3 linked regions of the Oryctolagus cuniculus genome follow. The protein of the gene in region 2 interacts with the protein of the main gene of each other region in a biochemical or structural test. Links are inferred from orthologs where the notes say so. Each region holds a gene or a part of one and is shown on either strand. Other genes may lie near its edges.

Region 1 (3,567 bases), on a different chromosome or scaffold from region 2:
TACTTTCTTTTTTGTAGCTTGGTTGCAGAATTGTTGGTCCTCAAGTGGTCATATTTTGTATGCAACACCAGCGATGTGTCCCAAGGGCTGAACATCCAGTTTATAATATGGTTATGTCTGATGTAACTATATCTTGTACAAGCCTGGAAAAAGATAAAAGGGTAGGTGTTAGGAATATCATGATCTGTTTATTATCATACTTAACTTTTCAGTGTAGAAGATACTTTGAAAGACCTTAAACTTAATTTTCATATTTTTAAGAGTTCAACATACAACAGTATAGTATACCTTTTTTCTTAATAAATTGTATATAGTAGAATTCATATTAAGAGTTTTTATGTTTCCCTTCAAAACTGTTTTCCTTCCACAGTTAATAAATCACATTTTCCCACATTAGATGGATTGCCTTAAAAAAATTCTTAGAGCTGTATAAATATATTGATACATAATTTGTATTTTAAAAATATTTATATTTTTAAACTATAAAAAATTGAGCATCCGTAATCTGAAATCTGAAATACCCCAAAATCCCCAATTTTACTGACAAGACACCACAAGTAGAAAATTCCACACTTCACCTCATTTAACAAGTCACAGTTAAAACACAGGTGCACTAAAATTATTGTTTAAAATTACCTTCAGGCTGTATGTATGAGGTGTATATGAAACACCCATCCCCAAGATGTCTCATTTTGTATCTGCAAATATTTCAAAATCTGAAACCAGAAGCACTTCTATACTCACTCTGTATATGTATAGTGTATATGAATATAATCTTTATTACAGAAACAACATAGTTTAATAAACTCAAATAGTTGCGTAAATACAGGAAAGTAATTCATATTTATCTTACTATTTTCTTTTTGGGGCTGCAGGATGAAGTTCATAAATATGCACAAATGATGGGCGGACGAGTATTCAGAGACCTTAATATATCAGTAACTCATCTTATTGCAGGAGAAGTTGGCAGCAAAAAATACTTAGTTGCTGCAAACCTAAAGAAACCTATTTTGCTTCCCTCTTGGATAGAAGCACTTTGGGAGAAGTCACAAGAGAAGTAAGAGATCTTTTCTAGATTGGAAAAAGGGTGCATACTCTGGGTTTTCATAGGGGAGCTTTATTATATCCCCTTTGGATTAGTTATTCAGAGAGAAAATTGGGGCTTATTGAATGAAAACAGAAGAGCAAAATGTATAAGCTCTTATTATCAAGTGTAAATTGACAGGTTGAATGGAGTATGGGTTTAGCATTAGGTACAAGGTAAGAAATCTTTTGATAATAAAGTTAGTTTTTACTACTAAATGCTCCTAAAATAATTGAGAAAATCCATTTGGCAACTCTGTAGCTCTTATGTTGCATTATCCTTAAACACCATTCCTGGATGTTAAGATGGAAAATAAATAGCCATTTTGGCAATGTATACCCCTTAAAAAGGGTATATGTAAAACTGAATATGAACATATGTAAGCTATCAGCTGAGATGTGATCATTTAATAAATGTTAATTGAGCGCATTTTGTGAACCTGGCCCATGTGTTTGATACAAGTGTTGAAAATATACTGCTTTGACCAACAAAGGCTTAATGTTAATGAAATACATATTTTTTTCCCTTGAAACAGTTTTTATTTGAGGTTGTATCTGAAACAATATATTAGAGACTTGGTATTGAGCTGAGTGTCAGTTCAGGACACTGAATTGAGGAAAAGCAGTAGTGGGATTTCTGTTGATTGTCATTACTCTGTAAATTTAAAATTACCTGGCATACTTCATATGATCATTTGTATTTCTTTCTACCATTTGTTTTTCCCAGTAAAATAGCTAGATATACTGATATAAACATGGAAGAATTCAAGTGTCCTATTTTTCTTGGTTGCATAATCTGTGTGACTGGCTTGTGTGGCTTAGACAGGAAGACAGTTCAACAACTGACGGTTAAGCATGGAGGCCAGTACATGGGACAATTGAAAATGAATGAATGTACACACCTCATTGTTCAAGAACCAAAAGGTAAAACTGTGTTTCACAAAGGGACAGATGGCAAGCTTTTCTCTAGTATGTAACGTTTAAAACTATTGCTTCTGACATATTCTTAACCTAGTTTAATATTTTTTTCCCTAAAATCTTGAAAAGATAGTTTGGGTACAGTTTGAGAAAAGATTATATAACCATCTTAGTGTTTCTCCAGGTCATTGATTAAATACAAATAAAACTAAAAGTTTTAAACCTCTTATGATATTTTGTTAAAAAGAAAGAAAAACCACTTCTACAGTTGTCAGGTACTTAAAAGAAGTTTGGGTGAATGACAAGAAAACTGAGAGGTCAAGCCAAATGACACTTCTTTTAATGACTAAAAAACTGACTTTATTTTTAATTGAGTGAATCAACCTGACTGAATGAACTAGAAGTTTTTTTGTTTTTTACTGTGCATGTTTATGGGCTACAATGTGAGAATTTGGTACATGTACAATATATAATCAAATCAAGGTAGCTAACATTTCCGTCTTCTTAGACATTGATTCTTTGTGTTGGGATCCTTCAAAATTGTTGCAGTCACCCCACTGCTGTAGACTAGCACTACTCTTCCTCTATCTGCATTCTGATGCCTGTCTGTTCTCCCTCACTCCCTGCCCTTCACAGCCTCCACTGACCTCTGTTCTGCTCTCTTGTTAGAAAATCAGTGTCTGGGCCGGCGCCGCGGCTCACTAGGCTAATCCTCTGCCTGTGGCACCGGCACCCCGGGTTCTAGTCCCGGTCGGGGCGCCGGATTCTGTCCCGGTTGCCCCTCTTCCAGTCCAGCTCTCTGCTGTGGCCCGGGAAGGCAGGGAGGATGGCCCAAGTGCTTGGGCCCTGTACCCCATGGGAGACCAGGATAAGTACCTGGCTCCTGCCATCAGATCAGCGCAGTGCGCTGGCCGCGGCAGCCATTGGAGGGTGAACGAATGGCAAAGGAAGACCTTTCTCTCTGTCTCTCTCTCTCACTGTCCACTCTGCCTGTCAAAAAAAAAAAAAAAAAAAAAAAAAAAAAAATCAGTGTCTTTAGCATCTACATTACATGAGAACAAGCAATGCTTGTCTTTCTGTCCTGGCTTATTTTACTTAGCATAATGTCCTCTAGTTCCATCTGTGTTGCAGCAAATTGACTAGAAGTTTAAATTGAAGATACACCTTGCAGAACATGAGGCAGTAAAATAAAAAAAATTACTCCAAATATGAATTCTTTAAACTTTTGGCATTCTATAATCTTTGTATCTCTTTTGCAGAATATTTTTTACCAGTACTCATTTTTTTTTAAGTTTTATTTATTTTTTGGAATTTAGAGTTACATAGAGAGGGCAAGACAGAAAGAGAGAGATCTTCCATCAGCTGGTTTACTCCCCAGATGGCCACAACTGCCAGCACTGGGCCAGGCAGGAGCCAGGAGCTTCATCCAGGTCTCCCACATGGATGGCAGGAGCCCAAGCAGTTGGACCACCTTCCACTGCTTTTCCCTGGCCATTGGTGTTGGATTGGAAGTGGGGCAGCTGGGACGTGAACCAGCCCATATGGGATGTCTGCGTCACAGTCTGT
Region 2 (4,149 bases):
GAATGGGGCTTAAATGAGATGCTACTTGCATAACCCACGTGACACTTTGTTGACTGGGCAAGCCTGCATTAGCTCCAACAGTATTCAAAAAGGTCCACGTTTATGTATACACCGTTATTATAAGAAACCATTTTCCTACCCTTATTTAATATTTACAGATTTAACATTTACAGGTTTCTTGGGTGGAAACACTCAAAGCACAAGCTGATCTAAGTGCCCCCTCTGTGTGTGCCACTCATCCCTGATCCCACTGCATTCACTAAGGCAGGCCCTGAGCCCCTGTTCATCTTGCTCTGTCAGCACACGAGCCAAGAGGAGGGGTGACAGAAGGCCACTCCGAGGCCCCGGGCTTTGCTTTGACTACCCCTGTCCATCAGTTGACACTGAGCCTCAGAGTTGATACTCAAAGATGTGGATGAATTAGTTTGAATGCAGTGATTCAAGGACTGATGAGTAGTGGTGAAAACATAATTAAGAAAGATTTTTGTGGGTGGGTAATATTGTTACACTACTGACAGGAGCAGGGTTCTCTAAAAACTTTATGCAACTGTTTATTTATACACATGTTAAACAGGTTCAAGGTATTTTAAAGTTAATATAAGAAAACACATGAGCAGTTCATGACACTGAACTCAACTGTTTATGGTCAAGTTTCTTAAGAGGCAAATCGGGAATTAAATTCCCCTATGACCCTGGGCTCTAGTTACATCTAGTTTCTGCTGGTGTTATGTCCATTTTATTCTACAGAAACACTCCCTGGTGTGCCAGAAAAGTGACATTCACAGCCCTGTTAGGACTGCTGGTGTGGGAGCAGCTGTCCGGGAATGCAGTCAGTTCTTCACAAGGAACTGGCTTCTGCTCAGCTTCCCTCTCTCCCTGAGGTATGCAAGCAAGTGCTGTCGCCTCCTCCACGTGACCTTCACCCCGTACTTCTCCTCAGGGGTGTCTTCAGCCAACACAGGCCCAGGCTCTGGGCTGCTGGGAGTGCCGAGGTGAAGGGGACAGCTTCGCAGGCCGTTCTCCTTCTGGTCTGGGGGAATGGCTTCTCCCCTCACCAAAGAGGGCTCTGGGGTCTGGATGTCAGGAGGAATGAACACGTGAGGCAGGCTCTCAGGGGAACTCACAGATGGGTCCCCACAGCTCTGGGGACTGAGCACTGGAACCAAGGGCCTCCTGGAAACGTCCTTTTCTGATTGATGGGGACACTCCTTCACTGAGGGCATCCCCAGTGTCTCTGAACTGGAAGAAGTGGGTGGACTCTCAAAAGTGAGATGTGGAAACTTGGATGTGGTGGATTTCCGACTTGAATGTCTTCTCTGGTTGCGGGGACGTTTCCGGCACACTGGGAAGCAGCTTTCTGCTGTTATATCAAACTGAGGTGTTACCTAAGGATTTAAAAATAATCGGGTGAGACAAGCCAACCGCCAAGGACTAGCCTGAGACAGGAAACTACTCCCAACGACCAGAATCCTAAATGGGGGTCCACTTCAGTAATGGATGCAAAACAGAAACAAGTGTCTAGTGGCGTAATAGAAGGATATGGGCTTTGGGCAAGTCTTTCAGTCTCTCTGACCTTCAGCTTCCTCACATGTGGGAACGGGGACAATGCCTCTTTTATTTTTATTTTTATTTTTTTGACAGGCAGAGTTAGACGGTGAAAGAGAGAGAGAGAGAGAAAGGTCTTCCTTCCGTTGGTTCTCCCCTCAAATGGCCGCTGCGGCCAGCACGCTGTGCTGATCCGAAGCCAGGAGCCAGGTGCTTCCTCCTGGTCTCCCATGCGGGTGCAGGGCCCAAGCACTTGGGCCATCCGTCACTGCTTTCCCAGGCCACAGCAGAGAGCTGGACTGGAAGAGGAACAATCGGGACAGAACCAGCACCCCAACCGGGACTAGAACCCAGGATGCCGGCGCCACAGGCAGAGGATTAGCCTGGTGAGCCATGGCACTGGCCCGACAATGCCTCTTTCATCGTGCCACAAGGCTGCAACTGCTCCATACACTTCGTGAGGGTAGGGGCCAGTAGTCCTGCTCATCCTTGATCCCCCACCCCTCGCAGCGTGCCTGGCTCAAGGACTGGCCTCAGTAAAGAGTGAATGGCTGACTGCAACAATGGGGAGGGAGGTCAGACACGGACAGCAGCCAGCACAGGACCTGGCAGATGGTATCCAATAAATGCTCATTCCTCGTCTCACCCACAGGACTCTAACGTTTGAAGTTTTCCTCCAGAATCCTGACTTATGGTTTTTCTCCGCCATCCTGAACAAGTTGTATTTATTAAATGCTCTTAGGCAAGGCTTCTGCTTTACTGTAGAACTTCCCTGTCATATAGTTGATATTGTCTTCCAGGCCTGTCTTTTTTTTTTTTTTTTTTGGGCGGGGGGGGGGGGGGGAGACAGAGCCAGACAGACCATCTGTTGGTTCACTCCCCATAAGCCTGCAATAGCCAGGAACCAGGAACTCAATCTAGGTCTAGGGACCTGACTCTTTTTTTTTTTTTTTTTTAAGATTATTTATTTATTTGAAAGTTAGAGTTACATAGAGAGAGAAGGAGCGGCAGAGAGAGAGAGAGAGAGAGAGAGAGGTCTTCCATCCACTGGTTCAATTAGCCATAATGGCCGGAGCTGCACCAATCCGAAGCCAGGAGCCAGGAGCTTCTTCCGAGTCTCCCACATGGATTCAGGAGCCCAAGGACTTAGGCCATCCTATGCTGCTTTCCCAGGCTATAGCAGAGAGCTAGATCGGAAGTGGAGCAGCCAGGACTTGAACTGGTGCCCATACGGGATGCCAGCACTGCAGGTGGCAACCTTACCCACTACGCCACAGTGCAGGCCCTGAGACCTGACTCTTTAAGCCATCAGCTGCTGCCTCCTAGGGTGTGCATTAGCAGGAAGCTGGAATTGGAAGCAGAGCTGGGACTTGAACCCAGGCACTCTGATATGGGATATGGCTATGTCTTAACTTAATATTTTAACTCTTAAGCCAAATGCCTGCCCCTTCCCAGGGCTTTTTTTTTTTTTTTTTTTTTTTTTTTGACAGGCAGAGTGGACAGTGAGAGAGAGAGACAGAGAGAAAGGTCTTCCTTTGCCATTGGTTCACCTTCCAATGGCCGCTGCGGCCGGTGCGCTGCAGCCAGCGCATCGTGCTGATCTGAAGCTGGGAGCCAGGTGCCTCCCCCGGTCTCCCACGGGGTGCAGGGCCCAAGCACTTGGGCCATCCTCCACTGCACTCCCTGGCCACAGCAGAGAGCTGGCCTGGAAGAGGGGCAACCGGGACAGAATCTGGTGCCCTGACCAGGACTAGAACCCAGTGTGCCAGGCGCCGCAGGCGGAGGATTAGCCTATTGAGTCGCGGCGCCGGCCCAGGGCTTTTAAACTGTCAAAATATGACATATGCCATTTCTGTGGGTTGTATTTCAAGGTTCAAAAAATCTAGTACCTAGTTAAATATACCACTTTCACATGATGTGCAGGGCACAATCTCATTTTTACTCATTCTGCCACTTGTTTAGCTTTTCTCACCCAGTTACTAGGTGGTGAATTTTTTTTTTTTTAAGATATTTACTTATTTGAAAGTCAGAGTTACAGAGAGAGGGAGAGGTCTTCCATCCAATGGTTTACTCCCCAGTGGCTGCAACAGCTGGAGCTGCACCAATCAGAAGCCAGGAGCTAGGAGCTTCCGGGTCTCCCATGCGGGTACAGGGGCCCAAGAACTTGGGTCATCTTCTACTGATTTCCCAGGCCACAGCAGAGAGCTGGATCAGAAGTGGAGCAGCCAGGTCTCAAATTGGCGCCCATATAGGATGTCAGCACTGCAGGCCAGGGCTTTAACCCGCTGCGCTACAGTTCCGCCTCCTGGGTGATGAATTTTTTTTTTTATTTTATTTATTTTTTTTTTTTTTGACAGGCAGAGTTAGACAGTGAGAGAGAGAGAGACAGAGAGAAAGGTCTTCCTTTCCGTTGGTTCACCCCCCAAATGGCTGCTACAGCTGGCTGCAGCACACCGGCACACTGCGCCAATCCGAAGCCAGGAGCCAGGTGCTTCCTTTTGGTCTCCCACGCGGGTGCAGGGGCCCAAGCACTTGGGCCATCCTCCACTGCCTTCCTGGGCCACAGCAGAGAGCTGGACTGGAAGAGGAGCAACCTGGACAGAA
Region 3 (4,240 bases), on a different chromosome or scaffold from region 2:
TGCAAGCATGAAAACACGAGCAGCGCATGATAACGACAGATTCCTGACTGACTCTGGAATGCACGCACGCTTGCGTCCTGCTTTTAAATGATCTGAATGAAGCTCTTCAAAACACAGGGGACCCGTTTTTCTAATTTCATTAACTCACAGCAATGAAACAAAACTGGAGCACGGCATGCCTGCTCTGCCCCCCTGGGCGGCTTGTCCCTAAGCACCTAAGAAGGACGGCGGCGCTCAGCGGGGCCTCTTCCGAGCTCTGTGCACGACAGGGAGCAGTCACTGCGCCACCCCGAGGCCACGTCACCCGTGTGCTTCATCCAACGCTGCCTTTTCCCAAGTCCAGGCGGCCCTCGGCGGAGCCCAGTGATCATCTGTCCAGCACAGCGTTGAATTTCTTCTGCAGCAAACGGTGAGCAGGAGGCCAGGCCCTTGGGCATCGTCTTTACTCTCCACGGCGCTCGGTCACGATCACGCCCTCCTCCCGGCTCTGTGACACACATCCAGACGGCTGGGTCGCGGGACTCGGGTCCTCAGAGACCCGAGCTGACCACTCGGTGCCGCTTCAGGCCTGTCCCGGTGCTGTCACTGAGAGCATGGCACGTCCATCAGACGCGATCGTCTCTCAAGATCTTTTTTGCAAATAACAAAGGCATGACTCAGATTTCTCCTTGAACAGCCCTAAAAATGAATGCCACTTTCTCTTCAGGCCCTACACAACTCTAAAACAAACATGAACGCACCCTAAGATCAATCAAAACCACAGAATTCAAACCCCGCCCTTCATGTGCCCCGAGGGGCGAGCCCGCAGACAGCACTTACGTCGGAATCTGGGATGCAGGGCTCCCGGAAGTCCCTCCACAGTCTCCTAGGGATGACCTTTATGGGGATGTCGTGCGTCACGATGCGACTGCTGCTTGACACGGATATCTGGAAAGACAAGAATTAAAAATGGTTCTGCTATCCGTGCTAAAAAGCCAAGTTACTGAGGACCAAAAAGTTGAACTATCTGAGGGAAGCCGAATGCTGTCAGTACATTCTCTCAAAACCCACTCAGCCAGGCCGAGGGAGCACCGTTCTGCCGGCACCTGGGAAGCGGGCCCTGATGTTCCGGCAGAACCGGGACACAAAAAAACGGCAAGACGGCACGAGGTGCTCGATACAGCCTGGAAGGAAACGCAGGAGCGAGACTAGGCAGAGCCCGAGGGAGGCTGCTCAGACTGGGAGGTCACCCGCAGATGCTGCCAAGGCCAGCAGAGGCAGCCGGGCTGGCGGCACCGGGCGAGGGGCCGCGCCCCAGACAGCACTCCAGAAAACAGCCCAGCAGAGCGCGGGGCAGACGCAACGCTGCCTGCCGCGGGGAAGCCACGGGGAAGCCGCTCAGCTCCCGCGGCTCATCCTCTGCTGGAAGCTTCAACCATCCAGATCTGTGGCGAGGGGCTCTGAGGGGCTCCAGCCAGGCCGTGAGTACCGGCCCGCTGCAGAGAGCTGAGGAGTCGTCTTCCACAGAGCTGGGGCTGAACACCATCGTCACCGCAGGTTGTAGAGTGAGACACGCAGAGAAGACGCGGGGACGGGGCGGGGGAGGCGGCCGCCATGCCCAAGAAGGACTCAGCCCGTGAGTCAGCGAGTCGGCGAGCTGCAGCACTGGGCCGCGGTGGTGTCTGACTGGGCCCTGAAGGCCTTGTGAGGAAACGGGAGCCACCGAGGGGCCCTGCGTGGGCTGACTCGCGGCAGCAAAATGAGAGGAAGCCACTGCCCGCAGACGGCCTGGGAGAGCACGGCTAAGGGGAAGACGGACAGAAACGGCTGTCTTTGATTCAATTTCTATTTATTTGGAAGGCAGAGCAGCGGAGACAGAGACGTCCCGTGTGCCAGTTCCCTCTCCAAATGCCCCGGACAGCCGGGACTGGGCAGGCAGAAGCCGGGAGCTGGGGGCTGGGTGGCAGGGGCCCAGGGCGGGGCCAGCCGTCACCTGCCTCCCCAGGGGTGCACCAGCAGGGCGCAGGAGGCCGAGCTGGCACTCGCACCGGCACTGGCATCCCCAGCACCAGCGCGGCCACCACTCCCAGACTCACGGGGGCCGGGGCGGCGCGGGTTCCACCGGCTGCCAAGGGCGGGGGCTGCCTGGACTCCGTGCGACTGGAAATGAGCCCCCCGCGGGCCGCCCGCCGCTCACCAGCTCCACCGAGACGGTGAGGCACGGGAAGTGCCTGTTGGTGAGCTTGACCTTCAGGGCCCGGGCGTTCTGCGCCGTCTTCAGGGCCCGGGCGAGGTTTTCGGACGTCAGCTCCAGGTAGATCTCGTTGTTGTCCGCGGAGACGCCCTCCATCTGAAACTCGCTGAAGAAGTCCTCCTGCTGCAGCTCGCACCACAGGCTCGCGCCGCCGCCCGCCAGCTTGTCCGACAGGATGAAGTTGAGCTTGTCCGGGCTGATGCGCAGCGCGCACGTCTTGGCCAGCTTGGCTACCATGTTGCTGACGCCTGCGGCGGGAAGCGGGCACGGAGACAGAGTCGCGCGGCGCGCCGGCCCCGGCCCTCAGCGCCCCGGCCCGCTTCCCGCTTCCCGCGCCGGCCCGCCGCGGGGGACGAGCTCCGGAGACGCCCCGGGCGCCCGCCTCGCCCCGAGCGCGCCCTGCCCGCCCCGGCCCGCGCCCCGCTCACGGGTGAAGTGGTTCAGGCAGCCCGCGTCCACGATCTTGGCCCGGAACTTCATGTCGGCGCCGGGGAGCGCGGTCGGCGGCGGACACGCGTCCCGCCTCGAGCGGCCCGGCCCGGAAACGCGGCTGCGCAGAGTGGTTCCGCCGGCTCCCGCCTGAGGCCTTGCCGGGGCGTCCTGAGCCCGCCCCCAGGGAGGAGGGGCCTGGCCACGCCCAGGGAGAGGCGGGGCGTCCTGAGCCCGCCCCCAGGGAGGAGGGGCCTGGCCACGCCCAGGGAGAGGCGGGGCCTCCTGAGCCCGCCCCGGGGGAAGAGGGACCTGGCCACGCCCGGGGAGAGGCGGGGCCTCCTGATGCCGCTCCGGGGAAGGCGGGGCCTCTTGATGCCGCCCCGGGGAGGCGGGGCCCCTGACCAAGCCCCCAGGGAGGAGGGACCTGGCCACGCCCCGAGGAGGCGGGGTCTCCTGAGCCCGCTCCGGGGAAGGCGGGGCCTCCTGAGCCCGCCCCGGGGGAGGAGGGACCTAGCCACGCCCAGGGAGAGGCAGGGCCTCCTGATGCCGCTCCGGGGAGGCGGGGCTTCCTGAGCCCGCCCCGGGGGAGGAGGGACCTAGCCACGCCCAGGGAGAGGCGGGGCCTCCTGATGCCGCTCCGGGGAAGGCGAGGCCTCTTGATGCCGCCCCGGGGAGGCGGGGCCCCTGACCACGCCCCGAGGGAGGAGGGACCTGGCCACGCCCCTAGAGGGGTGGGCCCTAGTCGGGCCCCGGATGGGGACTGCCGCGTGCGGGGCAGGGGTGGGGGGTCTGCCCCCAGGACGTCGTGACGCGGGTGTCCGGATCTTGAGAATATCCAGATGAAACTAAGCCCTCGTAAAGCATTAGAGGAAGTACCGCCCCAGAGCGGCGGCCCCGAACCTCGGGCTGGGAGCGGCGTGGTGACTGGGACCCGGGGTGCCGGGGGCCGGGGTCCTGCCGCTCCCCGCCCCCGTCAGGCCGGTAACCTCTCCGTCTGGGGGAGGTCAGGCCGATTCCTTCTCCGTCATCACCCCTCCCACCCCCGTCAAGGGATTCCTTCCTCATCACCACCCCCCAGTCAGGGCGATTACCGCCCCCCCCTCCCCCGTCATGGTGATCCCACCCCTCCCGCAGACCGCTTGCCTCTCCAGCTCAGTGATCCCCCCTCCCCCATCAGGGCGATCCCCCCAGTCAGGGAGATAGGGTGACTCCCCCCTTCAGATAGGGGACTCCCCCAGTTTCCCCCCACAAAAGGCCGATCCCCCCCATCAGGGTGCTTCCCCTCATCAGACCTGTTCCCACCCCCCCCACAATCAGGCCGGTCCCCCACCATCAGGGCACTTCCCCCCCATCAGGCCAGTCCCCCCATCAGGCCACTTCCCCCCTATCAGGCTGGCTCCCCCCCATCAGGCCCGTCTCTCCCCCACACCAGACTGGTTCCCCCCATCACAGCACTTCTCCCCCATCAGGCCGCTTCCCCCCTATCAATCTGACTGCCCCCCATCAGGCCTACCCCCTCCCATCAGGCCAGTCTCCCCCATCAGGCCGCCCCTCATTAGGCCAGTTCCCACCCCG

What was found.
Region 1: the proteins of RHNO1 (region 2) and TOPBP1 form a complex in vitro, tested with the Homo sapiens proteins (2 studies listed by BioGRID). The link is inferred for Oryctolagus cuniculus from reciprocal best matches to the Homo sapiens genes RHNO1 and TOPBP1.
Region 3: the proteins of RHNO1 (region 2) and HUS1 form a complex in vitro, tested with the Homo sapiens proteins (2 studies listed by BioGRID). The link is inferred for Oryctolagus cuniculus from reciprocal best matches to the Homo sapiens genes RHNO1 and HUS1.

Annotation. Positions count from the first base shown.
Region 1 is NC_091435.1:175,324,489-175,328,055, reverse strand, and holds part of TOPBP1 (DNA topoisomerase 2-binding protein 1), read left to right. Parts: intron 1-17; coding exon 18-161; intron 162-875; coding exon 876-1,057; intron 1,058-1,810; coding exon 1,811-2,007; intron 2,008-3,567. UniProt on the Homo sapiens protein: Scaffold protein that acts as a key protein-protein adapter in DNA replication and DNA repair. Composed of multiple BRCT domains, which specifically recognize and bind phosphorylated proteins, bringing proteins together into functional combinations.
Region 2 is NC_091440.1:106,435,217-106,439,365, forward strand, and holds the end of RHNO1 (RAD9, HUS1, RAD1-interacting nuclear orphan protein 1), read right to left. Parts: intron 1,386-4,149; coding exon 831-1,385; 3' UTR 527-830; downstream 1-526. UniProt on the Homo sapiens protein: Involved in microhomology-mediated end-joining (MMEJ) DNA repair by promoting recruitment of polymerase theta (POLQ) to DNA damage sites during mitosis.
Region 3 is NC_091447.1:53,481,198-53,485,437, forward strand, and holds the start of HUS1 (checkpoint protein HUS1), read right to left. Parts: upstream 2,848-4,240; 5' UTR 2,714-2,847; coding exon 2,662-2,713; intron 2,482-2,661; coding exon 2,177-2,481; intron 928-2,176; coding exon 820-927; intron 1-819. UniProt on the Homo sapiens protein: Component of the 9-1-1 cell-cycle checkpoint response complex that plays a major role in DNA repair. The 9-1-1 complex is recruited to DNA lesion upon damage by the RAD17-replication factor C (RFC) clamp loader complex.